Linked DNA regions of Elephas maximus indicus. The protein of the gene in region 1 binds, or shares a complex with, the protein of each later gene. Links are inferred from orthologs where the notes say so. Each region holds a gene or a part of one and is shown on either strand. Other genes may lie near its edges.

The links.
Region 2: LRP5 (region 1) and FZD8 share a complex: the UniProt entries of both Homo sapiens proteins name them as parts of the wnt-signaling complex. The link is inferred for Elephas maximus indicus from reciprocal best matches to the Homo sapiens genes LRP5 and FZD8.

What each region holds. Positions count from the first base shown.
Region 1 is NC_064825.1:131,042,681-131,057,993, reverse strand, and holds the start of LRP5 (low-density lipoprotein receptor-related protein 5), read right to left. Parts: upstream 6,115-15,313; 5' UTR 6,036-6,114; coding exon 5,945-6,035; intron 1-5,944. UniProt on the Homo sapiens protein: Acts as a coreceptor with members of the frizzled family of seven-transmembrane spanning receptors to transduce signal by Wnt proteins.
Region 2 is NC_064822.1:9,844,145-9,858,418, reverse strand, and holds FZD8 (frizzled-8), read left to right. Parts: upstream 1-6,836; 5' UTR 6,837-6,839; coding exon 6,840-8,930; 3' UTR 8,931-11,195; downstream 11,196-14,274. UniProt on the Homo sapiens protein: Receptor for Wnt proteins. Component of the Wnt-Fzd-LRP5-LRP6 complex that triggers beta-catenin signaling through inducing aggregation of receptor-ligand complexes into ribosome-sized signalosomes.

The DNA.
Region 1 (15,313 bases):
AATTCCAGAACACTTAATTGTGCTCATGAGGAACCTGTACATAGATCAAGAGGCAGTTGTTCAGACAGAACAAGGCGATACTGATTGGTTTAAAGTCAGGAAAGGTGTACGTCAGGGCTGTATTCTTTCACCACACCTATTCAATCTGTATGCTGAGCAAATAATCCAAGAAGCTGAACTTTATGAAGAAGAATGGGGCATCAGGATTGGAGGAAGACTCATTAACAACCTGCGTTATGCAGATGACACAACCTTGCTTCCTGAAAGTGAAGAGGACTTGAAGCACTTACTAATGAAGATCAAAGACCACAGCCTTCAGGATGGATTGCACTCCAACATAAAGAAAACAAAAATCCTCACAACTGGACCAATGAGCAACATCATGATAAACGGAGAAAAGACTGAAGTTGTCAAGGATTTCAGAACTGGGCAGTGTTTCGTTCTGTGGTATACAGGGTCGCTATGAGTCAGAAGCGATTCGATGGCACCTAAGAACAATGACCCCCAAGAACACACTCATCCCCCACCATTCCTGGTGGTCCAGGTGCCTCAGGCCTCCAGTGAGATGAAAACATAAGCCTCATGCTAGAGAAGGCCTCAGAGATCAGGACCCACTGGCTTCACTTTGCACACGAGGAAGCTGGGGCACACAGAGGGGCAATGAAGAGCTGGACATCTCCTCCCCAGGGCTCCAAGCCCAGGGCATGCCAAGTAGTGTGTGTGCCGCCCTCCCTGTGCGTTCTCCAGGGAGAGGGATCCTCCGGCAGATCCCCAAATGGGTGCCTCACACCCCAAAAAGGCTAAAAGCAAACCACTCTCCTCACTGAGGAGTCCCTCAGTGGTGCAAAGGGTTAACACGCTGGGCTGCTAAATGAAAGATTGAGGTTTGAGTCCACCCAGGAGCACCTTGGAAGAAAGGCCTGGCTATCTACGTCCAAAAAATCAGCCCCTGAGAAGCCTATGGAGAGCACCTCTGCCCTGACACACATAGGGCTGACAGGAGTCAGAGCCGACTTGAGGACAACTGGTCTGGCTTTTTCCCTTTTATTGCGTGCTTGTCGGGCCCTATCCCGCACTAAAGACTTTATGCATTATTTTATCAAATGCCCAGTGAAGCTAACAGACAGAAACCATTGTTGATCTCATTTTGTATATGAAGTCAAGGACCAGTTGGTTAGGTAACTGCTATATCAGATTTGAAGCCTGAACCCAGGCTTGTTGGATTCCAGTGCTCAGGGCCATAAAGATACTGTGGCCGGATGGGGGATGTTTCCTGAACTCTGAGCAGGAGATAAGGGGAGGGTATTAGGAGGCCCTGGTGGTCCAAATGGTTAAACACTGGACTGCTAGCCAAAAAGCTGGACGTTTGAATCCACACAGAGGGACCTCAGAAGAAAGGCCTGGCAATCTACTTCTGAAAAATCAGCTGCTGAAAACGCTATGCAGCGCAATTCTGCTATGACAACACACACGGGGACGCCGTGAGTCGGGGTCAACGCGACGGTAACTGGTTGATCCCCACTGCACAAATCTTTGCTTCAGTTTAACCGTTAGAAAAATTACCTCAAGGCAAATGGGAAGTTGTTGTTGGGTGCCGTGAATTCCAACTCATAGCAACGCTATAGGGCAGAGTAGAATTGCCCCATAGGGTTTCCTAGGCCGCACTCCACCAGAGCAGATCGCCAGGTCTTTTCTCCCTTGGAGCAGCTGGTGGGTTTGAACTGCGGACCTTTAGGTTAGCAGCCAAGCGCTTAACCATTGCACCACCAGGGCTCCTTAAAAGGAAAGTAGACGCTCAAAAAGTGTTCACTGAGTTAAACATCAACCAACAAAGCAAAGGAAAAAAACAGACAGTACAGTATACCCCCCACCTCTCCAAAAGGGCTCATAGGGAACTTTACCATGACAACCTCCCAGGGGGTCTTGCAGGCAGGGACTGCTTGTGCGAACTGTCATCAGCGAGCACGTGGCCTTGTCCGCACACCCCTCTGCGCAGCTTAAGGGTTCTGGGCTGCCAGCCACCCCACAAGGGCAAATCTGTGCCAATCACAGACCCAAAGCACCTAAGCCCCCTCCCACACAGGAGTCCGGGGACTTCCAAACCCAGGCATTCCGTCAGGAAGGGCATTTTTAAAAGGAAAGCTGGCCACCTAGGGCAGGACCTCTTGGCTTTTCCCACAATGACCCCACTGAACCCGAACAGGCGCCCTGCTAGGTGAACACCACCATCCCCACTTTACAGATGAGGAAACTGAGGCTGGGAGTAAGTAAACAGGCTCCAGAGCTGAAGAGAGAGCAGAGACCAGGTTCCAGCCAGCTGGTGGGGCCCTGGGCGGTGGGGGCGGGGGTCCCTCTTTGTAGGATCCCTAGCTACCTCTGTACACCAGCGCTGGCAACACACTACCCCCAGAGGGGGTCTGCTGAGGAGTGGACATGCCACGGAGCAGACATGCCACAAAGCACACACAGCATGGAGCAGACACATCACAGAGCAGACACGCCACGAAAGCAGACATGCCGTTGCTTTCTGAGCAAATGGGCAAACAGACCCATAAGGCGAAGGAGCTGGACACACAGGCTCCACTGTGAGAGCGTGTGAAGGAGTCGTCCACAAGACCTCGCAGACCACAGATGTCCCGCTGCTGTCAGGGGTTCTGTAACAGTGAAACGCACCGACTCACCCTGCCCCTCCTCCTGGGAGGCCAGCCCTGGCCTTCTAGCGGGCCCCTGTCTCACTTCCCCTCTCGGTCGCTGCCATGTTGCTGAGCTGCCCAGGGAGAATCCAACACCAAGTTCAACTGCATCACAGCCCAGCTTAACACGGATCCCATGCCCAGCTCCTAGGATGTTTTGGCTCCCAGCTTATACTTGCTGGGAGAAATAGCCAACCAAGATGGATCCAAACCCTTCACCTTGACACACCTGACTCCAGCCTGCATTCCCAAACTCTGACTAAAGTTTTCTGGGGCTTCGATCACATCTGGCCCACATCCAGTCCTTGGTGCCCCCTGGGCCTGCCCCTCTCCTAGCTAAAGTGAGCTCTAGCTGACTCTACGCTGGTAGCCCAGACAGCAGGGCCCAGGCCTTCATCGCCATCATGACCCAGCCTATCCCCACCACTTGGCACAATACCAGGCATCAAAGAGTAACAGCAACGAGAACAGCTAACACAGAGCCAGGCATGTGTTAACTCACTGACTTGGTGGTTGGAAGACTTGTTATCTCCATTTTACAGAAGAGAAAACCGAGGCACGGAAAAGTGAAGTGGCAGGGCAGGGATCAGACTGGAGGCACTCAGCTCCATCTGCACTGTCAACCACCCCACTCCAATCACGCGGTGTTGTGGTGGCCCTGTATCATTTAGGGAATAAACGAGTCCATCAGCGGACTAGAAAGCTAAGGTCGTGGGCAGAATGGAAATCCAGACTGCAGAATAGCAGCTTCTAGACCTTGCAGGCCAGGAAGATCAAGGACCCTAGTACACAACAGTCCCTCGCCTGGGCCTGGGGGGCTGCTAAGGGCTTCCACCCCCCATTTAAACCTCCCAGCGCCTGGGAAAGGAGCGGACCAGATAAAGACGTCAGACATAGACAAGCTAAGTAAGGCGCCCAAAGTCAGTCGGCTACTGAGCAGCAGCCTGGGCCCACGAACCCGTTTGTCCGACCTCAAAGTCCAGCGGCTCCGCAGCTCCAGGGCAGAAATCGATGCTGAGTCCTCCCTTGCGTACCCCACCCCCCCGCCCCCCCACCCCGCCCCCGCCGAGTGCAAATCCGGCTACATGCCTGAGCAGTGACAGGGAATTAAACAGCTTCCACATGTGACAGGGACCAGGGTGAGTCTCGACTGAGAGGAGGTGAATAAGTGTGGTGCCCAGGGGCTGGCCGGATACCTTCCTGGATTTGATCAGAACGGTGGAACCCATATGGCCTGGCTCTGAAAAACAGAGGGTCCTCTGGAGGAGACCCTCTCAGTGGGCTCCACACAGCATTGAATTTACCCAACCAACGCTGGCTGGGCCTGCCAGGAGTGTGCCTTGAACCCGCCCTCCATCAGGGAGCATGCCCACCTGCAGAAACCCCCTGGGGCAGGGGGAAGGAACCTGGCCAGGCAGGTGGGGCCAGAGGAGGAGACGGGGCGTCTGAGGCGGTAACGCCCCTCCCCGCACCAGGGCCCCCAGAACAAAGGCACCTACATGGGCTCACAGCTTCGAATTGCAGCAGGAAGCAATCAGGAAAAACAATTAGCTACTGGCTTGCTGGCTTTACTTGAGACCCAGGCAGAGGTCTGAGGTGACAGCCCAGAGGCAGGGCATATCACGAACAGCCAAAGCGGTTCTACAGAAAATACCCCTCCTTCTCATTTCTTTCCATTTCAGGGTTGTATCTCCACACGCGCCGGGGCTCCTGGGCTTCCTAAACCCCTCCGGACAAGCCTCCTGATGTTAAAACCATCAACCCTATTTTTGCTTCACATAGGACTCAGCTCCACAGATGGTGATTCTTTCCTTGGGGGGCTCAAATCGCCCAGGCGACAGGCATTCATACTCCACAACAGGACCCCAAAAGGTACAGGAAATCCCGAACTGCCAGGAGGTGAGACGCAAGAGCGATGCCTTAGAAGCCCCACCTTTAAAACAAACATCTTCCCAAAAACCCCTTTTGCCTGCATGATCCAGGCATTTCCGGCAAGAAAAGGCGCCGGGATGGCCTGCGCAACGCAGATACCTCATTGTTTTGTCTTCACCTTGGTTTACTAGCTCCAGACCGGGCCAGGAAATGTAAACACTCTCCTGAGAGAGGCAAATTTGGGGGGAAATGGCCCACAGAACCTCTAGGAAGGCTTGAGAAAAGGGGCCCCAAGCTTTCTGCGCTTCTGAATGACACAGACTCAGTGGTGGGGCCCAGGCTGGGAATGCCACCGGCAAAGCCAGGCCGGGACCCTCCCTGCAAATGTCCACACTGGAGATATTCCGGGACAGCTGTGTGCCTGACGGAGGCCCAGACAAAGGGACCCGGGCTCCCCCACACTCTGCAACTGCCCCCACCAGGAGGGGGGAACCCAGCGCCACAGGACAGGCTGGCCCGTCCACTTGGTCAGCCACACTCCAGAAAAACAAAACACGCACGTCTGAAGAGAATGATTTAGGTAGGGAGCCTTGCTTCAAAAACCACATGGCAATCTCCAAATTAAAAGAACATGCGTGGCATTTCACAACGCTTAGGTTTCCCGAGTCCTCCTGACCTCAACTCCACCCCTCGGGACACACTGAAAGTCGGGGAGAAAGTTCCCCAACTCTCGATCCCGCCAAAGGTGTGCACACCGAGAAACACGCACGTTCCTCTGATGGGACCGACCCGACACCCGGCTCGGCTGGCCCACGCCGCCAGCCCCCGGGGGGGGGACATCGGTCAGCTGGGCCGGGCGCCACCGTTTGGGGCCCACCGGCCGGCCGGACGGACACCTGGCAGGTGGCAGCCCGCTTGGAAACACAGCAACGTCAAAGGGGGCAGCGCAACAGGCCAGGACTCCCCGCGCCGGTCGCAGAACTTTCTCGCTGCAGCCCCAGTGGGACTCGCAGGCCGGCGGCGCGGCCATGGGCAAGAGGCTCGCCAGAGAGTTCCCGCTCCAGGGCGGCGAGGCCTGTCCCCCGCCGACAGGCTCCCTGCGCGCGGCCCCGCACGCCGAGCCGGGCGCCGGGCAGGTGAGGACGCGCCCGCCGCACCTGGCGGGGTGGCCCGGGACGGGGACGGCGCCCCGGGAAGGGCCCGGCGGGCGAGACAAAGGCCGGCGCGCGGCCCGGCGGCGGGGAGCGGGGACCGCCGCGCGCCCCAACTCGCCCCAACTTGCAAAGTGGCTCCGAGGCGGCGGCGCGCGCTCGGCCGCGGCCCGCCCTCCCCGGCGCACGGCCATTGTCCCCCTGTGTCCCCCGGCCGGCGCCCCCTACCCGCGGCGGGGCGCAGGCTGCAGCACAGCGCCAGGAGCAGCAGCAGCGGCGGCGGCGGGGGCCGGGGCGGCCGGGGCGGCGCCGCCTCCATGTTGTCCGGCGGCCGGACGCGCCCGCGCCGCTCACTCGGGCCCCATGGCGAGGCGGCTCCTCCGGCTCCGGCGCTCCCGCCTCCCTCGGCGCCGCTGGCGGGACGCGGGGGGCAGGGACCCAGCAGGGCGCGGGCGGAAGCGCGCCGCGTCCCCGCCCCCCGCCGGCCGCGCCCCCGGAGCCCGCCCCCCGGAGCCCGCCCGCGCCCCGCCTGCCCCCCGCCCGGGCCCAGCCAAAGCCACCCCGGCTCCGCGCTGGGCTCGGCCGGTGGTTTCACCCCAAGCAAGTTCCGGTAGCAGGTGTGTCACCTGTAGAGCTAAAAGGACCCCGCCTCTTACAGATGGGGAAACTGAGGCACAGGGGTGGGGGAGATTGCTCCAAGGGCACACCGCGAGGCAGCGGTAGGCTGGAAGCCAGGGGCCCCAAGCCGGGTCTGTGCACCTTCCCTGGGCGGCCACCGCCCCTGAGCGACAGCCACCCCCAGGTCCCAACGGGGCGACCAGTTCTCACTTCTGCGGTTACCAGGGAGGGCAGAGGGGGGCGACCGCGAGTCGGGCAGGGACAGAGCGGTTGATGGAGAGGGGCTGCAGCTGGCTGGGCTGGGGCTGGGGGTGGGCTTCAGGTTTAATTTTGGACTTAGTTTGTGCCCTCGGCTTTGATTAGGGTACAGGGAGACTGAGCAATGGCCCCATTCCTTCTTCTCCACGTGCTTGGAGGCTGGCGGAGCCAGAAAGCCTGGTCTGAGAGTTCCAACCTCAGGGGGTCCCACACCTTCAATTCCTTCAACAAGCAGGCGCTGGGCTCACGGTATGGTGCCCCACTCTGCGCTAGGCCCAAGCATCAGGCTCAGGACTGAGAGGGGCTGGGAAGGGGACGCTCTAGAATGGGCAGGGAGTGAGGGGAGGGGCGGCAGAAGAGGGCTCTGGATCCCGTGGTCCAAGTTCAAATCCAACTCTGCTGCTTTCTGGAATCGTGAGTGCCCTTGGTCAGGTGTGTATATTACCTCTCTGAGTACTATTTCCTCCTCCCTTGCACAGTGTTGGAGCCCTGTTGGGGCAGTGGTTAAGAGCTCAGCTGCTAACCAAAAGGTCGACAGTTAAAATCCACCAGCCGCTCCTATGGGGCAGTTCTACTCTGTCCTATAGAGTCCCTTTGAGTCAGGATCGACTGGATGACAACGGGTTTGGTTTTTTTCGTGTTTGCAGAGTGTTGAGAGGACTAGTGATAACACAGAGACACTACCCATTACTCATGAAAGCATGTGGTCTTCCATATTACAAAGCCAGAGTCCAGGCAGGAGGCCTCCGCCCTCCTGAGGCTTATAACTTAGCAAGGAGCACAGCCAAAAAAAAGGCAAATGAGTTTAAGATCACCACAAGGGGCTGTGAGGAGCTCCATGAAAAATGGAGGCTGTTGGGCTACAATGATGGGGACCTACTGATTCAGGGAGGTGGGCAGACTTCCTGGAGGAGGGGATGTTTGAGCTACCTCCTGGGTGATAAGAGGGGCAGCCTGCTGGGAAGGGGGAGGAGTTCAGGTAGATAAATCATGGCGGGGAGGGGAAGGCCTGAGGGCAGGGTCTGCCTCTGCCTGCTGGACTTGTGTGTAGAGGCTGGGGGTGGAGGTGGAAGGGGAAGATCAGATTGGGAAAAGGGGTTGAGAGTTTATCCCAAGAATGATAGGAAACATTTGTAGGGATTTAAGCAGCAAAAGGAGTCCCCGGGGTGCAAATGGCTAAAGTGCTTGGCTGCTAACCAAAAAGTTACAGGTTCAAGTCCACCCAGAGGCACCTTGCAAGCAAGCCCTGGCAATCTGCTGTCAAAAAATCAACCATTGAAAACCCTACGGAGCACACAGTTCTGCTGTAACATGCATGGGGTGGCCATGAGTTGAAATTGGCTTAAAGTCAGCTGGTTTGGTTTTTCTAAGCGGTGCTCCATCCCGGCAGTACATCCTGTTGGCTCCACTTTCCAAAACGGATCTAGAACCCCACCTCTTCTCACACCCCCACTGCTGCTACCCTGAACCAAGTCGCCTTTCACCCCCTGACAGGTCTCCTACTTCTGGACTTGCCCCCTTTCAGCCAAATCTCACAGCAGCCAGAGTGAGCAAGTTACATCCCTCAGGTCATGTCCTTCCTCCGCTCAAGAAGGCTCCCATCTCTGTCAGAAGAGAAGCCCAAGGACTATGGCACCCCAGGGCCTGCTCTGGTCCCCCTCCCTGTTTACTTCTCATACCTAGCTACACACTCCCCTCCCCCCCTCACCCTGCTGCTTGCCAATGGCCTCCCCACTGGCCTCAAATACACTCCTGCCTCAGGACTTTTTCACTTGCCGTTCTGTCTGCCTGAAACTCTCTCCTCAGTTAGCCTCATGGCTCGCTCCCTCACCTCCTTCATTCAGCTCCCCATGAAGGCCTTCCCTGAACCCCGTCAAAAATTCAAACTACACACACACTACCCACCCTTGCCAGCACTTTCTACACCATTCCTCTTTTATTCTTCTCCTTTTTTGTTGGTTTTGTCCCCTGCTGTATCCTCTGTGCCTAGACCAGAGCCTGGCACACAGTCCCCATTGCTGTCGAGCCAATTCCAACTCATAGCGACCCTACAGGACAGAGTAGAACCACCTCATAGGGTTTTCAAGGAGCAGCTGGTGGATTCAAACTGCCGGCCTTTTGGCTAGCAGCCGTAGCTCGTAACCACTGCGCTACCAGGGCTCCTGGCTAGAGGTGCTCAGGAAATGTTTGTTCAGTGAATGAATAAAAAGATCTGATATGTGTTCACGAAAGAGTCACTGTGGCTGCTGGGCAGGGGCAGCACTGTGGGAAGGCAAGAGGGGAAGCCAGGGTAGGGGGCTGGTCAGCAGATAGGCACGAGGGCTGCAACCAGGGAAGATAGCAGCTTGGACTCGGTAGGGGTGGCGGAAGGGGCTCATAGGTGGCGAGAAGGGACTGGATTCAGGATACCTTTAAGAAGAGCAGGAGGACTCACTAAAGGCATTGGCTGTGGGGACAAGGGACAGGGAGCTCAGGATCGCTTGCCATAGCGACTCTGCTAAAAAACCCATTGCTGTCGAGTCAATGCCAACTCATGGCGACCCCCTGTGCGTCTGAGCAGAACTGTGCTGCACAGGGTTTTCAATGGCTGACTTTATCCTCACGGAGGGAGATGCAAAACTTGAGTCTCTGATAGGGAGATTTCTGTATATGCAGAAAAATCCATTCATGTCAGGGGACAACGGGGGCTGGGAGTGGCTCCTAGGGCACCCTGGGGCCTCCAGAACCCAATCTTGGGGTGCCAACTGTGAAGACACCACCAGAGGCCTGGAGAGGGAAGAGCCTGTGCCCTGGGTCTCAAAGCCCATCAGAACGAGATCCCAGGTGGCCTGACTTGGATCAGAACTCTGAGAAAAGTCGCTTGCAAAGGGAGAAACGAGGCTGACCATGATTTTATTCTGTGGAGTTATGACACCATCACAGGGCTGGTCATTTTTAGACCCTTTGGTAATATAACAAGCACCTGGAAAACGTGCTAAGCTTCCACTTCCCCCAGAGGTTGCCTGTCACAGCTCACACCACCTCCAGACTTTCCTCAGGCCTCCTGTTTGGAAATCTTCACCATCATTTCATTCCTTAGATTTTAGCTCCTCCGTCACAGTGGAGGGGGCGGGGAGGGGTCGGCACCTGTCCGATCTAATCATATCTGGGGACAGGAGCTCCATTAGGGTCCACTTAAGGCCCATCAGGGATGAAGTCTCAGTCCCATAACATGGGTGGGAAGGACATTTTGGTTTCCCTCCCAGGCTGGAACATGCTGACTCTGGAGAGTTATTCTGGGCACCAGGGCCCCTCCCGCCCAGCAGGCCTGCAGGGAGTGACCCGAGATCTGACCGCTGTGGTCAGAGGGGTGCCCTGGGCTCCGGAGCACCCCGGGCCCTTCCGAGCCAGGAGCATCCTTCCCAAGGAGGCTTGGTGGAGACACACACACAACCCTGGCCTCTCTCTCCTGCAGTGGACGCCATCTCCCAGCAACCTGCACCAGGAGCAGGTAAGGGAAGGCCACCGTCTGTCCACAGCAGTGGACGCTGGGCGGCTTATTTGGTGGCAGGTCACAGTTTCTGTGGGTGCAGGGGACGCAGGCTGGGCTTCACCTCTCCAAGCCTCAGTTTCCTCATTCATAAAAAGGGGGTGATGACATCTGCTCAACTTCTTATCTCTCAGTGCTGATGTGAACCCAAAGTGTGATAAAGTTGAAAACACACTCCTCATGCTTTCAAGTGCTGCTTTAGTGTAAATTTGTGGTAACATGAGCCCAGCACCTGCACAGAAGTCGCCCCACTTCCCCCTCTTCTCCCATGGTGGTCATCCATCCCTTACATTTCTCTCTCCGAGGGAGGGGAGGACACAGAGAGCAGCATCCAGGCTGAGAGAAGGAGGAGTACAGATGACTCAGCCTTTGGCCTGAGCTCCTGGAAGGCCAGGACGGCCATTCGCCAAGATTAGATGTGTTAAGTGGATGAAAAGAGAGACCAGGGGAGGGAAGGTGGTGGGGCATAGTGGGGGTGGGATATGAATCCCACCTTGACCTTGTTTGGATTCTATGGGACCTCTCGGTGGAGGAGTGGTGTGGGCAGGGTCTGGGGACCAGGGAAGAGGGCTGCGCGGGGAAATTTAGGAATGCCCAGTGTATGACAGCATGTAAGGCCATGCGCCCGGAGGAGCAAACATGAAGAAAGAGGTTCAGGCTCTGAGCCCTGGGACCTCAGACGCACAGGGTGCAGGGAGGTGAGGAGAACCATGAGGGCAAGGGGGGGCAAAGTGAGGGAAGATGGGGGGACAGAGTAAGATGAGGCTGGAGACCTGTCCGTTGGACCTACCGAGGGGCAGGTCCTCAGTGACTTTGACCCACTAAAGATCACACGTACCTGGCTTTTACTGAGGCCCAGGCACTTAGCTGAACGCCCAGGACTCCACAGGGCTAAGGAAGGAAATAGCTTCAGCCTCTCCCTGTACTTTAGACCCTTAAACCGGGCCCGCGCTTTCCTCCCCCCGCCGGGTGAATACCTGGCCAGGTGCCCTAACCTCTGTGGCCCTCTCAGGTGTGGTGACATCCTTGGGTCACGTCTAGTCCTAACATTCTCAGCACAGGATCAAAATTCTCAAGTTTATTCGAAGTCACAACTTCTCCCTCTGCAGTGGGGGTAGGGACAGCCCCACCTGGGCTCTGTCTCTGCATCCCGCCCCACCTACCCCTCCAGCCTGGCTGCACCTGGGGAGAGGAAGGACTGTCACCAGTGACCAGGCACTGGGACCCTTGTGGGTTTTGGCAGATTCCAACTGTTGATTCATTCTCTCAGGAGCTCTTTATGGGCACGTTGGATGTTTCTCGGGACTGAGCCTGATCCCTGGGAAACACGAGCCTTTGCCCACACTCCCGGACGGGCAGCTCAGCCCAGGGTAGTCACCTGTCCTTCTCCACTGCCGACCAGGCAGCTGCAGCCTGACCTTGGCCTTTGCTTTATCAGGCATGGAGCAAACCAGACACATGCGTTGTCCCCCAGCCCCTCACCCCAGCTCCAGGGGACATGCTGTCGAGCCTCGTTATTAGGCAGGGATCCCGTATTCTCCATCTTGTCTAGTCGATAAAATCCTGGCGGGGCGGGGGGGGGCTTTAAGGTCATTCAAAGGTCTGCACATGAGCAACGTGGCCTGTATACTGTATTTGCAGGGACTTTATAGCCCATCTCAAGGAGCCCTGTTGGCGCAGTGGTTAAGCGCTCGGCTGCTGTCCCAAAGGTCAGCAGTTGGACCCACCAGCTGCTCCGTGGGAGAAAGATGTGACAGTCTGCTTCTGTGGAGATTTACAGCCTTGGAAACCCTACGGGGCAATTCTACTCTGTCCTATAGGGTCGTTGTGAGTGGGAATTGACTCCATAGCAACAGGTTTGGGTCTTTTGGGGTTTTTAGAGCCCATAACAACAGTGAATAACGAGACTTGATTATAAGTCCACAAGGTCTTTTGCTGTCTGTCTCCTGCCAGGTTTGAGATGAAGGGAAAGTACTCCTAAGGCTGGCTCTCTTTCTCATGCCTCCCACTCCTCTTTTATACTTTCAAGGGAAGTGGTGGGCTAATTATTAGGGTGACCCACAATCATATTTGCCCAGAACTGAGGGGGTTCCTGGGACTTTTATTATTAAAACTGGGAAAGTCCCCGGCAACCTGGGATGAGTTGGCCACCTCAGGGCTGGGGAAGGAAGCAGGCTCCCTCTGCAGGCTCCTCACCAGCCTTCCAGGCACTCAGACTCCAGGGCGACAGTAGGAACGGAGACCCACGTGTATACCATTGAAGAGTTATACATCAAGCCACCAAGCAGTTGAACAGCTGCTTCATCTGTCCTCCGGCCCGACCTTCCTACCTTCACAACACCTGATGACCAAGCCCCTCAGAACTCTCAGACAGGCTGGGCATGGCAGGGGAGAGGACCCGGCCCTGGACCACCCAGACCCAGTGCCCCGAAGACTGTCCATGGGGGAGGTGCCCACACAGCCTGGACGTGGGCTCTGTGCTGCTTGGGGGCTTGAGGCCCTAGGTCCTATCCAGGAGGGGGGTTTGCGCCTCAGGGAAGCACATCTCCTTGGCCCTGAGGGGGTGGGAAGGCTGGAGGGGCAAGACAGCATTTATTAACTTCAAGCCAAATGGAAGCCTCAAGGCCCATCCTGACACCCCCAAGTATTCCAAACCACCCACAGCTCAGAACAGGAGTGAGAAAACAGTCAGCAGCTAGCAGCAGCCAAGCCAGGACTCGCACTCAGATCTCTGGCTCCATGCAGCCCTTCTTCTTCCAGGCTCACGCTCTCTCTCGCACTGACTCACTCCCCTCCCCCAGGTCCTCTTCCCTGCAGGGACTCCTCGTGCGGGCCTGGGAAGCTCAGCCACTCCCCCTCCTCCAGCTCCACCCCCCCCCGCCCCAGTAAGCAGGAGCAAGCTTCCCCTTTTCAAAAACAAACATCTTCCCTCCCCTGCATTCTCTCTCCCCTCTGTCCGTGAGTGGGGGCTTCTCTAACCACCATCTGTACTCGCTGCCTCCTGCCCTCACCTGTGCCCTGTGACCCCGCCCGCCCTTGCAGTGCTGCCTCCTGCCCTCACCTGTGCCTGGTGACGCCACCCGCCCCTGCAGCAGCATTCCCATTGCTCTCTCCAAAGGCCGTTGCTTCTAGGCTCTGCAGTCTCCACCACCCACACCTCCCCTCTGACTGTCCCTCCTCTCCCAGCCTCACCCCTCCTGCTCACAAGCTCTCCCTGCTCCAGGCACTGCCTCCCAAGTGTCCCCCTTTCTCCATCCCCACCACCAGGTTCAGCCCCCCAGGCTCTGCCAACTGTAGTCTGTGCCTCCACAAGAAAACCAAACCGTAGCCGTCGAGTCAATTCCAACTGATAGCCACCCTGTAGGACAGAGTAGACCTGCCTCTTAGGGTTTCTAAGGAGCAGCTGGTGGCTTCAAACTGCTGACCTTTTGGTTAGCAGGCGAGCTCGTAACCAGTGTGCCGTCAGGACTCCTTGCAGTTATTGTTGTTGTTGTTAGGTGCTGTTGAGCTGGTGTCGACTCACAGTGACCCCATGCGCGACAGAACAAAACACTGCCCGGCCCTGCGCCGTCCTCACGGTCTGCGCTACGCTTGAGCCCGTTGTTGCAGCCACTGTGTCAGTCCATCTCATTGGGGTTCCTCCTCTGTTTCACTGGCCCTCTACTTTATGAAGCAAGATGTCCTTCGCCAGGGACTGATCCCCCTGATAACGTGTCCAAAGCATGTGAGACGTAGTCTCGCCATCCTCGCTTCTGATGAGCGTTCTGGTTGTGTTTCTTCCAAGACAGATTTGCTCATTCTTTTGGCAGTCCGTGGCATATTCAATATTCTCTGCCAACAGGTCAATTCAAAGGCATCAATTCAGTCTTCCTGATTCATTAGGATCACCTTTCAGTGGGTGAGGTTGGGGAAGGCTCAGATGGGGACTGGGCTGAGGAGGGGAGAGAGAACAAGTGTTGCAGAAGCTCAGCAGGGAGAGGCCCCCTCCAGCAGGAGGCAGACAAGGCCTCAGGGAGACAGTGCCGGTGACCTAGACCTTGACAAATGGGCAGCTGTGGAGAGGGTAGGTGGGGATTCCGGTGGGAGGCAGGGTGTGCACGGGACCGTGACACCCAGATCTGAAGCCAGGAGCAGCTGGTTTGTGGGGGTGTTGATGGGGAAGGGGACTGTAGGCAGGGAGGCTGTGGGGGACAGCACCCAGGGGAGAGCTTGGCTCCTGTGCAATATTACGCAGTTTTCTGCCCAAGGACATTCCTCGTGCTCAGACACGGGGGTGAGGTCACCCCCACCCTTCTCGCAGGAAATAATCCACCTCAAGAACATTCCCAACAGGTGTGACAAGAAGAGAAGCCATCACAGGTATGGGGACACCTTTGCCCTGAGTAGCAGCGGAGGGTGTGGTCCCAGGGCGGCAGCTGAGGGCTTGCCTGGGGACCTTGGGTCTGTGTTAGCCTCCAGGAAGATCCCTCTTTCTCCCCACTGGGGTCTTAGAAGCAGCAGCAGCCCCCAGCCTTGGGGTTGGAGTAGAAAGAGGCTTCTCCGGGGCAGGCTGGGTCCAGCATTGAGCCGAAAGATACAAGTGCTGAGGCCCTGGGGCAGCAAGGACACGGAGCCCCAACCAAAGCTGGGAGGGAGACCCCAGACCCACTGGCAGCTCTCGGGTCTTGGTCCCCAGCCCTGGGCAGGTACAGCAGGTAAAGCTAAGAGCCTGGTGATTGGGGCCCCTGACCATGAGGGCCACCTCCTGCCCACACCCCCTCCTCAGATCAGTGGTTCATGAACACCCTCATGGCCACTCGGCCCAAAATAAAAATGGATGGAGGCCTGGAGGGCAGCGAGGAAGCTTCACACCGAGCAGAGCACATGGGGCCTTTAGTGTGAAGCCCCTGCCTCCAGACGTTGACCTGGACTAGGTTCTCTACCAACAAGGCCTTCTCGCTGCCCTGGCTGGGTCGAGGTTGCAGGGTGAGTCCTCTCAAGCACATTCTCCAGGCCCTCCAGGACCAGCATCAAGCCCCTGCTTTCTCCTTATATCCTCCTGGTGACTCTTAAAAAATGAAAACCAGTTGCCCTCGAGTTAATCCTGACTCAGGGACTCCACGTGTGCAAAATAAAACTGCTCCATAGGGTGACCTTTCAGAAGCAGATCGCCAGGCCTTTCTTGGGAGGCACCTCTGGGTGGGCTCTGCTAG
Region 2 (14,274 bases), on another chromosome or scaffold:
TACAAGCACATTTGCTTCTAAGAGCAAGCAAGACTCAGACCAGAAAAAAAAAAAAAATCAAGTGTTATCACCTCTAGAAAAAAAAAAAATGACATCCATTTAACATAAACTTATCAAAGATAAACACAAAATAGAAAGAAATGCCATTGTAGTCTCTACCACCTCCAAGCCCTTAATCCTAATAATTACTATGGGTGCTATCAATGTAAAGTTTATTATTTCCGACCACCATTTAAAATGGATCATTGCTACCAGCTATAAAGTCTTCCCTAGATCAACATTTTTTAAATACAAAGGTTATTTCATATCCATAAGCAGTTTTAAAAAAATTTTTAAAGCAGTTTAGAGATGGAATTAAACAGTTTCCCTTGCATTATACCTAATTTTATCGACAGAAAAAAAAATTACCTGGTATAGGACGTAACAACAACAAAAATCTCCAAAACTGTACCAGTGTTTTTAGTGAAGCCTCCAAAAGAAGCATGAAAAAGCTTATCAAAAAAGAACAAAGAGTTATACTAACAAATGTATATTTATACATTAAAAATAAAACAAGTAGTAAACTGTTTGACATTTATTGCTCACTAACTGCACAGAGAACTGGAGTGTGTGAGCTTAATAAGGAAGAAAACAGAAGTGTATATGTCCGGGTTTCTTTGCTCCACCGTGTCGCCGTGGAGTCTACCCTGACCCGTGGGGACCCCTTGTGCGTCAGAGTAGGACTGTTCCAGAAGGTTTTCAGTAGATGATTTTTCAGAAGTAGCTCACCAGGCCTTTCTTCGGAGGCACCGCTGGGTGGACGTGAACCTCCAAACTCGAAGTTAGCAGCTGAGTGCATTAACCAACCACTCCTACCACCCAGGGTTTCCTCTTTGGGTCTAGAACATACATAACTCATAATTAACCGTGGACAAAATACACTGGAAGACTAAGCTTGCTGCCTAAATGATATTACTGAAGAGTTCGTTTCTTTCAGAATAGTAACGTATCGTTGACGTTGCTGATCACCTGCTCAGCAACGTTGCCCTCCTCCTCCGCTTTCTTCTCACCGACTGCCCCCCAGACACTGGGATCTCACTCTCGCAGCCTCCTTTGCAGCAGACCAAGGCGCCATAGGGGACGTTAGCTCGGGTCTGCTGGGAAATGTTCTCTTTCCAACAGGAGGAGAGCAGCACGGGGGTCAGTCCTGTCTCCCTTCCTGCCTTGATTGCCGTTCTGTGAAATGTGATGATTTGGTGGTGGAGGCTGTGTGTAACCAAAAGGAGAGCCAAGACTCACCAAGACAGCAGCCTGAAAGCCTAACACCACTGAGTCACAAAATAAACCAACGGTGGGACTTCCTGGTTCTAGATTTCTTATTATTTGAGATTAATTAAATGTCCTTCTTGGATAAGCCAGTTTTACTTTGGAGGTCTTTATTGCACCTGAGGGTCCCTCGGTGGTGTAATCGTGTAATGCGTTTGGCTGCTAACCAAATGGTCGGAGGTTCAAGTCTACCCGGAGGCATGTTGGAAGAAAGGCCTGGGGATTCACTTCTGAAAAATCAGCCAGTGAAAACCCTGTGGAGCACAGTTCCACTCTGACACACGTGGGGTCACCCTGAGTCAGAATCAGCTCAAAGGCGACCGGTGTTTTACTGCACCTAAAAGCTCCCAGTGGTGCCAGTAACCCATTGCCGCTGAGTCGGTGCTGACTCATAGTGACCCTATAGGACAGAGTAGAACTGCCCATGGGGTGTCCAAGGAATGGATGGTGGATTCGAACTGCCAACCTTTTGGTTAGCAGCCAAGCTCTTAACCACTGCCAGTAATCCAACGTGAACTGGAAAAAAAAAAAAAAGAATAAAAGAGATAAATGGTTGATTTTTAAAACATAACCAGTACCAGTTGCCTTTGTGTAGATTCGGTCTCATAGAAACCGCATGAATGTCCGAGTAGAACTGCTCTCCACAGGGTTTTCAGTGGCTGGTGTTCTGGAAGTAGATCTCTAGGCCTTTCTTCCAAAGCTTTCCAAGTGGACTGGAACTGCCAAGCCTTCAGCTAGCTGCTAAACACATTAACCAATTGTACCTCCCAGGGACTCCTTTAAAATATAGTTTACAATAATTATAACGTTAAGTAATGACAGCCAGTGCCGTTACCATTTTCTAAAATGACTTCTGCGTGTAAAGATTCCTAACCAATGGCGTATATTGTCCTCAGTTATCTTCATCCATTGGCAACTTGGCCTTGTAACAGCAGACACAATGACAGAGTACTCCTTTCCGATTGGATTCTTTTCCTGGTTGCAAAGAAAATAGTTAAAAGTAGAAGACCTTTCATAAATTTTAATGTCCATATAGAATAATATATAAATTATCTCACCCATTTTAAATCTAGTAGAGATTAGAGTAAGACCAGTTGATCTCTAACTTCCCTTCCATCTGTGGAGTGAGACTCAAGACTCAATTCTTAAAAACCAAAAAATTAAAATGCCATGAAACCCCAATATTATAGAGTTTTATATTCCCGAACAATGTAGTGTTTGATTGTTTCCCTGAAAGGAAAAATGCTTTTAGGAGAAAACTTTGGTATTTTATGTAACACCAGAGAAATTTCACTAGTTACTGAAGAATTCTCCACTTAATCATTGCCATTTTATTGTTGTATGTTAGACCCTCACTTGCATAGGAATTTTTATATTGGATTTTTAAACTATAATCCACTAAAAAACAATTTCCTGTTTCTTAAATTTGAGAAATATAGTATACTGATAATCTCCTATCTAACTTGGTATCGAATATCATGTAAAACATTACCCTGCTCTGTGGCAGATTCTGGCCTTCAACTGCCTGTATAATGCTTATAGGCTATTTAGTAACAAGACATCTGTTCAGAAACCCCTCTAGAAACTTTCCTACGTTATTTATGTAACTCTCCAAAAAAAAAAAAAAAAAAAAGCTGCTTTACATACAAAAGAAAAAAAAAAAAACAACATTAACCCAGAAGGTCAAAAATGACTGATTTGTTAACTGACCCATTACTGTCTTTTATACACTAATTGGCTTCTTAAGTCTCGCTCTTCTGCTCTGGAAAATGGGTAAGCAGTAATTTAATAGTAACTCTAAATGCTATTTTTATGTTCTCTGAATTAAAAGTAAACATTTCGCGATTTTTATGTGAATGATTTTAATCTCACAAATCAGTAAGTTTCCCTAAATAGCTTATAGCATGAATTTTTAAAACCCTGAACTTCTGTCTACTTAATTTTTTTCCTGCAAGCTTAACATACTTACCAAAAATTTCCACATTCCACATCATCTAAGCTTTCATCTTGTCTCAAAATAAAAAAGCCAGAAAAAAAAAATTAAATGCCAGTTAAGATCCAAAATCAACTTTCAGCCTCAATTTTCAAATGTCAAAATTTGTTTTTACCTAATTCTAGTAAATTTATATAGCGTCATTCTAGACCTCACTATTTGGCATTTCCAGGCTGAAGAAAAGCAGTAGAAACTTTTTAACACCTCTGTTGCTTTTGGAAACTGGCCCCTCCCATCTGCAGCCTCCAGGCCGGTCGTTAAAAGGGTGCTTTGCGTTCACCACTGCACCTCAGAGCAGAATTTTGACTCTGGGAGTTACCTGTTCCCAGGAGCTGAATGTTCTGCAGAATGGCTGACTTTGAACAACGTAGCAGGATAGGGGTTAGGTGACTTTTTGAATTCAACATACCACGAATGGAGATAGAGAGTCAGAGGCGGGGGTGGGGGATGGGGGGTGAAGCCATGGAAAGACCAAGTAAAGGTGTCGTCTTTGCATTTTTTAATAGACTCTATTTTCTTCTACTGAATCAGCTAATATATCTGAAGCTGTTGAATTTCTTTTTAAGGAGTTTGGTTTTTCCAAAACAAAAGTGGGAAGGAAGTGTTGTTTTTCAGTATCAAGAGATTCTAACCAGACTTCAATTTTTAAAAGATGGTGGAATACAGGTACATCCTGGTGAATATACCTAGAATTCTCGGCGAAAACGCAGAACTTGCCAAAACGCGGGGGGGCGGGGGGAGGCGGGAAGGTAGGAGGTGTTTCTGCCTGTCTCCTTAGAATGTGGTGCGTAGTGAGGCTGCTAAACCAAGCTACAGAAACAGAAGGAAGAAGAGAGACTCCATTAGCTCAAGCAATATACAAAAACTGCTAGTTTTTCTGTTTGTTTTGTGACAAAAGTTGGTTTTAAACAGATAACCACAAAAAACCACAACCCACCCCAAAATCTGAATTGGTCTCAAATGCACCTTGAATTCGTCTTTGTCCTCCCACCCTCAACAACTTTTGTCCCCTTGCCCTACTTGCTCCAGATATGAAACCTGACAAATAGAAAAAATTTAGAAACAAAAAGAGAGAGAGAGACTGTATTTTGCCACCCTCCTGGCTAACCGAAATGCTTGTTCCTGAGATTACAGTAATTACAGCCCCAGCGTGAGTTCCATACAAGCGCTAAATGAAACAGCACATCAATTAAAAAATAAACACTCCATTCTAGGAGAAAGACAACCCCCTGGGACGTCCTAACAAGCGTAAATGAACCTGCCAGGCCGCCTGCCCCTCCGCCCCCCCACCACCCGATTCTTAAGGTGGTTGGTGGAGTGGCTGGGGCAGCGCTAATTGGCAGCGTCACAAGCGGCAGCTGAAAGAAGCTCTGGCCCCGCCCCTGCTCTGGAAGACCAAGGTTACGTGTCGGCGCCAGGGGCGCAGCCCCGCCTCGAAGGCGCCAGGGCTGTATCAGACCGTAGAAAAGGAGGCTTTGGCGAAAACAGGTGAACTTTGGAGAGATGTATATACGCTCCAGAAGTACAAGAGGAAAATATAGGATCCAGCGGCAGAGTTTTCAGCCTCTCCTATTTATAAGCTTTTTTTTTTTTTTTCTTAAAGGAGAATTCGTTCTCGTAAGGAAGAACTGTGTCCTGGATGCTTTATATATTTTATGTCACCTAATTATCCCTTTTGAGATCTGGACCGCGATCACCCCCATTTTGCAGGGAAGGAAACAAGTTCAGAGATGATAAATACCTTCCCCAAGGTCACCCAGCGGGAAGGTGGCAGGCGAACCCCTACCACCACCTGTGCCAGACCCTGCGCCCCTGCTCTGCGGCTGCCTCTGGCCGGCAGACCACTGCAGCTGGGGTCACGGCCCTCACCTAATCCAGCTCCACCATTCAGAATACACTGACTTGCTGACTCTCCCCACGTTTCCAAGCCTCAAAGACCAACTTCTGAGAACCCTAAAGAGGGCACCCCTTTCCGGATCCCCCAGAGTGCACTCAATAGGGGCTAGCCCCGCCCACCCAGCCTTCTCACACCCACCTGCAGAGGGCTCCGCTCCTCCCCCGGCTCACCAAGGGGCGCGGAACCCCTGCTGCCGGCCAGCCACCCCACATTCGGGGAAGTAAAGTGGATTGAGGGGCTTTACTGATCTGAAATCGGTCTGGGGAGACGCGCGCTGCCTATAATCACGTCCCAGTCCCCCAGGTGCAGATTCAGGAAAATGGGACCAAGACCTCAGGAGTGCCTAGGGGCAAGCATGACAAACTTCAAGCCAGGAGCAGCGAGGGGATTCGTGCGCTCCCGGGGAGGCTGCGCTGACTCTCCGTTTCTGCGGTCAATCCCAAGGTTATCAATACCGAATCTCCATCACCAGAAAGCGCAAATTTACGGCCAGACACTGCGGACGGCCTTAAGGAAGGTTGAGTCTTGGGAGCGCGTAGACTCCGCCCCGTCGCCCGATGATTGGCTGCCCCTTCCAGGGGCGGAGACTGAGTCCGCTCCGTATAAATATTCATGAGTCCGGCAGCTCTGCTCGAGCTGGGGCTGGAGACTGGGAAGTTGGGCAAAGGGCGCTGCTCCCGCCGAGGAGGTGGTGGCGCCGGCGGCTCCAGCCAGACACCGATCAGCTCAGGTGTTTTCGCGTTGCCTTTTGGTCTGGATTTTTGTTTTTTGTTTTAGCAAGGAGAAAACTGCCTGCAACTCGCTCGATTACTTGCCGTAGCACGGCGCGGACTTTTACCCGGAGGCGGGATTTGTCTGTCCCGGCTGGCGGACGGACTGACGGACCCCGGGGCTAAGAGGCAGCGGCCTCGGCGGAGGGGAGTTCTCCTCCAAACTCGGGGAGCCGGCGGCGGCTGTGGGAGCAGGAATGTACCCCCTCGGGGACAGAGCGGGCTGGAGAGGTTGACCCCGGACTCGAGGAGTGCGCCTGGCTCAGCCATCTTGACTGCATCACGGGGGTTGGAGAGGAAACTTGCTGCTCCGCCACCTTCTGTGCTCAGCAAAGTCGCCGCCAGCCCGGGAGTCGCGGCGGAAAAGTGGCCGCGGCGCGGAGGGAGAGGGAAAACGCAAGTGCAGGAAGATGAGCCTGAGGCCAGCAACTCTCCTCCGCGCGAGCTGAAATCGGACCAAAATAAGCAGGCGAAAGACCCGAGGGGGTCTGTCGTGCTAGCCTGCAGCCCACCCCCTAATTTCCCCGGAACCGCTGTGCGATCCGAGGAGGAGGGAGCGCGGCACTGCGCTTTCTGCCCGGCTCCCCGGAGTGGCCGGTCAAGCGGCGGAAGGGAGGTTTGGACGGATTCCTGCCCAGCCTTCCGGACCGCGCTGCTGGAACTCTGCCCCTGAGAAGGGGCTCGGCTTTCCGCAGACTCCCCTCCCCAGGAGAGGGAGGCCGGCAGGACAGAGAGGCCCCGGGTACCCGGGTTTCTTCCTCTCCTCTCTGGTTTCCCGGCGCCCCTCCCCGCGCCTCCAGGCCCGGGCCCCGGGACGCGCGCCTCGTGGAGGGGCGAGGACACGGCGGCGGCGTGCGGGGCTGAGGCGCCCAGCATGGAGTGGAGTTACCTGTTGGAAGTGACCTCGCTGCTGGCCGCCTTCGCGCTGTTGCAGCGCTCGAGCGGCGCGGCGGCCGCCTCGGCCAAAGAGCTGGCGTGCCAGGAGATCACGGTGCCCCTGTGCAAGGGCATCGGCTACAACTATACCTACATGCCCAACCAGTTCAACCACGACACGCAGGACGAGGCGGGCCTGGAGGTGCACCAGTTCTGGCCACTGGTAGAGATCCAGTGCTCGCCCGACCTCAAGTTCTTCCTGTGCAGCATGTACACGCCCATCTGCCTGGAAGACTACAAAAAGCCGCTGCCGCCCTGCCGCTCGGTGTGCGAGCGCGCCAAGGCCGGCTGCGCGCCGCTCATGCGCCAGTACGGCTTCGCCTGGCCCGACCGCATGCGCTGCGACCGGCTGCCGGAGCAGGGCAACCCCGACACGCTATGCATGGACTACAACCGCACCGACCTCACCACGGCCGCGCCCAGCCCGCCGCGCCGCCACCCGCCGCCGCCGCTGCCCGGCGAGCAGCCGCCCACGGGCAGCGGCCACAGCCGCTCGTCGGGGGCCAGGCCCCCTCACCGCGGCGGCAAGAGCGGCGGCGGCGGCGGGGGGGACACGGCGGCGCCCCCCGCGCGCGGCGGCGGCGGCGGGAAGGCGCGGCCCCCTGGTGGCGGCTCGGCGCCCTGCGAGCCGGGCTGCCAGTGCCGCGCTCCCATGGTGAGCGTGTCCAGTGAGCGGCATCCACTGTACAACCGCGTCAAGACGGGCCAGATCGCCAACTGCGCGCTGCCCTGTCACAACCCGTTCTTCAGCCAGGACGAGCGAGCCTTCACCGTCTTCTGGATCGGCCTGTGGTCCGTGCTCTGCTTCGTGTCCACCTTCGCCACCGTCTCCACCTTCCTCATTGACATGGAGCGTTTCAAGTACCCGGAGCGGCCCATCATCTTCCTCTCGGCCTGCTACCTCTTCGTGTCGGTAGGCTACCTGGTGCGCCTAGTGGCAGGCCACGAGAAGGTGGCGTGCAGCGGCGGCGCGCCCGGCCCTGGCGGCGCGGGACCTGCGGGCGGTGCGGCGGCGGCGGCGGGCGCGGGCGCAGCGGGAGCGGGCGCGGGCGGCCCGGGCGGGCGCGGCGAGTACGAGGAACTGGGCGCCGTGGAGCAGCACGTGCGCTACGAGACCACGGGCCCGGCCCTGTGTACTGTCGTCTTCCTGCTGGTCTACTTCTTCGGCATGGCCAGCTCCATCTGGTGGGTGATCCTGTCGCTCACGTGGTTCCTGGCGGCCGGCATGAAGTGGGGCAACGAGGCCATCGCCGGCTACTCGCAGTACTTCCACCTGGCCGCGTGGCTCGTGCCCAGCGTCAAGTCCATCGCCGTGCTGGCGCTCAGCTCGGTGGACGGGGACCCGGTGGCGGGCATCTGCTACGTGGGCAACCAGAGCCTCGACAACCTGCGCGGCTTCGTGCTGGCACCGCTGGTCATCTACCTCTTCATCGGCACCATGTTTCTGCTGGCGGGCTTCGTGTCGCTCTTCCGCATCCGCTCGGTCATCAAGCAGCAGGGCGGGCCCACCAAGACGCACAAGCTGGAGAAGCTCATGATCCGCCTGGGCCTCTTCACCGTGCTCTACACCGTGCCCGCCGCCGTCGTGGTCGCCTGCCTCTTCTACGAGCAGCACAACCGCCCGCGCTGGGAGGCTACGCACAACTGCCCGTGCCTGCGGGACCTGCAGCCCGACCAGGCCCGTCGGCCTGACTACGCCGTGTTCATGCTGAAGTACTTCATGTGCCTCGTGGTGGGCATCACCTCGGGCGTGTGGGTCTGGTCTGGCAAGACGCTCGAGTCCTGGCGCGCCCTGTGCACCCGCTGCTGCTGGGCCAGCAAGGGCGCCGCGGCGGGCGGGAGCGCGGGCTCCGCGGCCGTGGGGGGAGTCAGCGGGGTGGGCGGGGGCGGTGCGGGGCCCGGCGGGGGCGGGGGACCGGGCGGCGGCGGGGGCTCCCTCTACAGCGACGTCAGCACCGGCCTGACGTGGAGGTCTGGCACGGCCAGCTCCGTGTCTTACCCCAAGCAGATGCCATTGTCCCAGGTCTGAGCGGAGGGGAGGGGGGTGGGGAGGAAGGAGGGTCGAGGAGACCTAGTACAGAGGGACTCTTGATGATCAGAGGTTCCCACCCCTTCACCGTGTTGATTGCTATTAGCATGATAATGAACTCTTAATGGTATCCATTAGCTGGGACTTAAATGACTTGCGTAGAACAAAGTACCTGGCATTGAAGCCGCCCAGACCCAGCCCCCTTTCCGGCATTGATATGCAAGGAGCTCCTAGCGCCAGGCGTTAATGTCTGTTGGCACTGGAGGGTGGCCTCTGCTGCGTTTCCAAAACCCTAGGTTTGGAGAACTCACTGGTTGCCCTTTGCTGAGCTTGAAGCAACATCAACAGATTTGACCTGAGGGACAGATCTTTCTCCCTTGACTCGCCCACATAAACTCTTAACATGTCCTAGAGGCGGGAAGACCACGACCTAACGGGATTGCAGGGTTTGGGTATTCTTAATGACCAGGCAAATGCCTTAAATAAACAAACGAGAAATGTCTTAACTATACACCCCAAGTAAATACGGGTTTCTTACATTAAAGGATGTATTTATATAATTATTTGTTAAATTGTAAAAAAAAAAAAAAAAGTGTAAAATATGTACATATCCAAAGATATACAGTCTGTACATTTTTTTTGTAAAAAGTTTAGAGGCTACCCCTGTAAGAACAAATATAAGTATTCTATTTTGTCAATAAAAAGACTTTTGATAAATGATTTAACCTTGGCCCTCTCCCCCTGCCTCTTCTAAGCTGTTAGCTTTGACGTGCTTGCTAAGAACACATCGGAGAAATGGACATTTTCTGGATTATCACTCTGTACGCTGACCCTAGGCATGGAGAAAATTACCTGTTAACTGCTAATTCTTAAGTTGTTAGCAAAGTAAATATCATTGTTGAACTGAAATCAAAACTGAGTTTTTGCACCTCCCAAAAAAAGATGGTGTTTCTAGTGGTAACTTTTTTGATCCGTGGATAACAGCTCTCATCGTAGTCTGTGTAAATGGAACTTTGGCAAGGCACTAATTCCACTTGTGCCTTGTTATTTATCCTGTGTACTCTCACTAAAGGCTTCAAAACCCCACACTGATTTCTCGCGTCCATGATTTGCAAAGCACCTGGTTATTCAGGAACTGAACACGCTGCCCAAGTGTGAAGGTTAACATTTTAAACCCATAAATCACACTTTACAGTGTAAGTCACTTGACAACCTGGTGAAGGAGCAGGCTCTTTAATGGATTAAACTAACGGGTTAACATCTTAATAACCGTCCAGGCTTGTGTATATCAAATGGGCTGCTTTTTCCACAGAAAAAGCTATTGTTCCTCTGTCAAGACTAAGCTAATTTATTTGAGCAGAAGGCTGTTGAATTAGCAGAAGAATGCTTTGGCAATTGTTGAACTTTTTACCTGTCTGTCCAGTGGCTCAGCCCATCATTCCTCTAAGAGGAGCTAAATGAATAGGGTTAATCTGTAGGGAACTTGGTCTTTTGAGTTGGAAAAACTTTGATCTTTTCTCCTCTCCAAATGTGACGTATAGTCTGCAGTTTCTTTCCCTGCTGCCTGGTTCCTCTTGTTGCAGACCAATTGGCCACCATGGAGCCTTAAAGTTCTTCAATTAAAGGGATGTGGGACTTTTAAAAGGAGAGAGAACGAGGGAGAGGGAGCAGGAGAGGAAGACTTGTAACAGTTAGTGAAGACCAGAAGCCCAAGTGCGCTCAGCCTTTTAAACAGCTTTTGCCGGCATTGTTAGCCAGCCTGCAGGCAGCTAGACATGGGTTGAAGCTTTATAGAAAAGGACTGTGAGTGCCCTACAGGTGGTCTGCTCACATAATCCCCCCATTTAAAGCGTTTTCCTTTGCTGGACAATTGCATTACAAAACTCCCTTCTTTTTCGCTCCTAATTGAACCAATGAACTATTATAAACTACAAGTTTTTCTTTAAAAAAAAAAAATCCTCAATGCCTAAATTCTATTGACTCAATTCTGGCAAGTTTTCTGAACCTAGTCTTTTAAAGCGCCGGAAGCAAAAGCTGCTTCAGGAGATATCTCTATTTTTCAGATATTTTTATTCCTTATGCTTGTTATTTTCTGACAGATTAGCAATAATTTAAAAGTAATTGGTGAGGTTGTGTGTTCATACTGAAAAGATAGCCCCAGGTTCCGTATTAACCTGTCAATCAAGATAAGAAATGGGCAGCTACCCCGCTAATGACGGAGGCATCAGTCACGGTGGGGTGGGAGGGAGGACTTGTTTTCTGCATCCTGTTAAGATGTTTGTTCTCTTTACTTTTCCTAATAGGAATCTTTAGTGGTTTAAATTTTTTTAACTTTTTTTTTCTTAACGAATGGAATGGAACTATCTTAACGAATGGAAAGGAACTATTTCCTTGACTGAGCTTATATAAGAAGCTCCTAAGAACAGTATCTTAGTAGTGATCTTTTGCAACATCTTTTCAGAGTTATTCTGAGTGTGGATTGAAATTTTAAGATTAGGTATGAAGTAAGGAACCCTGCTATGGCTCTAATGTTGATTTTATATTCAGAGGTCTTGTAAAGTCTGCACGTCTCCAGCAGTTTTATTCATCAGAGAATTGCTGTTTGCTAACTAAGGTACCAGTAGGTAGCCTGCACCTGACCTATATGGTAGGTTATGCCGTAAGCCAGCCATAAGCTTGACATTCTCAGCTCTCAAGTAAAATTTTGAGGGAAGTTTGTATAATCTTTACCACATACGTAGGAAGGGGAGAGAGCTCACTCACTTGTTAGCATGTTGGTTTTCCAATGGAACAGTATTCTCTTTACTGACATATTTTCAACTTTCTGACCCAGTGAGAAATGTTCAACTTGGAAACTTTTTTCCTTTATGGACTCTTTACTATGTCCTTGGAAAATGCCATGTTTGATAACGTTTACAAGACGGCTCTGAAGTGTGGTAAATATAATCAAGCTTTTAAACAAACAGGAAACCCTATTTACATACTGAGGGCAATTCTCAAAAGACAGCCCACATACACAAGCCGGCTCTGAACCTCACCGGAGAGTGATATTGACACACAAGCCCTGAGTGTTTGTGTTAAAACCAGAACTCCAGTTACAAAGCTGTCAATACCTAAATGGTGTCTGTTAATGGCATCAAAACCCAAACTGATTTTGGTGATGGGAAAAAGGCGGAAAGGGTCTCTGGCCATTTGCGTCAAACAAATGGGTTCCTTGCCAGCGCACCGCTTTACTTTGTGCTATGCATGTGTGCCCTCAATCACTATGTGAAACAAGTGTTAGTTTTTGACAATGCTGTCGAATATGGGGATGGAGGTGTGGGGTTCCTGTGTGGCCAGAAGATCCATGTAGATAAAGCCAGCTATGGATGAAACCGCTAGAAAAGCCAGAAGCTCATTAAAATCGCTGTGGGAGAAGTTATGTGCGACCCTTTCTTTGTCCTTTATAATAAACGCAATATGAAAGTACCATAAAACAGAAGGGGAAAAAGTTGATGAGAAAGTTTAAGGGGCAAACCATGTTGCCTTACAGTTTGGTGATGTACCTTGAACTTGCCGTAGGTTGCTATACTGCCAAGTTTTGGGGGAGAGAACTCAGGTTGTCTTGACAGAAGAAAAATCACAGAGACTCAAGGAGTTACAAAGCAAGGGCTGCAGTTGAAAGGTGGATGCGAACATTCTGAGAGTCTCCAAACTCAGAAGCACATGAATCCCATTGAAGATAGCAGCTTGCCACGTTTGAAACCATACTGCCCTCTTGTGGTAGGATAAAGTTACAGAACCAGGTGAATAGATGCCTTCTTTCAATTCATTCCTTCGGAATAACCACATGGCCACATGTACGGACCCTCTCACACATATGGGCCTTTTCAGAGGACCTGCGAGCATTTTGTATTCATAATTGTGATTTCTTTTAAATGATTCCAAATTTACAAAATTACATAAGCTTAAGGCCCCGCAAGACCTGGATTCATCCCCGCCAAGCAGTAGGATAAGGAGCCCTGGTGGCGTAGTGGTTAAGCGCTCAGCTGCTAACCAAAAGGTCAGCGGTTTGAACCCACCAGCCGCTCCGTGGGAGAAAGATGTGCCAGTAAGCTTCTGTAAAGGTTACAGCCTTGGAAACTCTGTGGGGCGGTTCTACCTTGTCCTATAGGATCGCTATGAGTCAGAATTGATTCAATGGCAATGGGTTTGGGTTTTTTGGTTTGTACAGTAAAATTAACCTTTATTAACGTCAGTTTGAATTAAATTCTCACTATAGTAGTTATGTTAAAAACAGAATTAAGCTGCATTGAAATCCAAGTCTTTTTCAAAATTATCTTGAGTTATTTTTATTTAAAGAATGGGATCCTTGCCAAAGATCCACCAGATCAAAACTTGATAGGAGAAAGGAATGGATAATAAAGAGTATTTTGAGGTGAGATGTAATTAGCTTGCTTGATTAATTAAACGACAGCTTCTCATGAGGAAGCTAATGTGCTGAGTCCAGTGGGAACTCCTCAGTGCACACTGGGTTGGGTGGGAAGTAGGCTGTCCCCCAGTTATCCATCCAGGTGTTCATGGAAACATACTAAGGAATAGAAAGAAAGCTGGGAAACAAGGTCAGCCAAAGGGAAGCGAGGGGGAAGAATCTCCCCTGGAATACCAGAGTCCTGAGGGAGAAAGATTCACACAGCCCAGAAGTGTGGGAAGACTAGGCCTTTACGGGAGGATGAGCAAAGAAACGGGGCTGCCTCACAGCGCCATGTTTGAAGACTTCTTGTTCGTGAAAGCCAGAGTGGCTGATGGGAACAGAAGGCAAGGAGGAGGCGCTAGCCCCGGGGGAGGCAGAGCAGGATAAGATCTTGGAGGTCACTTACCAAGATCATAGAATTTTAGAGTTAAGAGAGATCCTAGGGGTCATTTAGAACCTTGCTACTTAAAAAAGTGTAGTCCCTGGACCAGTAGCAGAGGCGAGACTAGGAGCTTACTAGAAATGTTGAATCTCAGGTCTTATCGAATAAATCAGAATCTGCATTTTAACGAGATCCCCAAGAAATCTGCACGCAGATTACAATGTGAGAAGCACTGGCCTAGCATAAAATCACTCATTTGACCACCAGGAAATTGGGGTCCACAGAGGACTGTATTTGCTGAGGAGCATACAGTCAGGAAGGAGCTCTGGGGGTGCAATGGTTAAGCTCTTGGCTGCTAACTGAAAGGTGGTGGTTCATAAAAGACCCAGTGATCTGGAAACCCTGATCGGGCAGCTCTGCTGCATCGTATAGTGTTGCTATGAGTCAGAACCGCCTGGATGGCACACAACAACAACACACAGTCAGGAGCACAGCTGAGACTGGAAGCC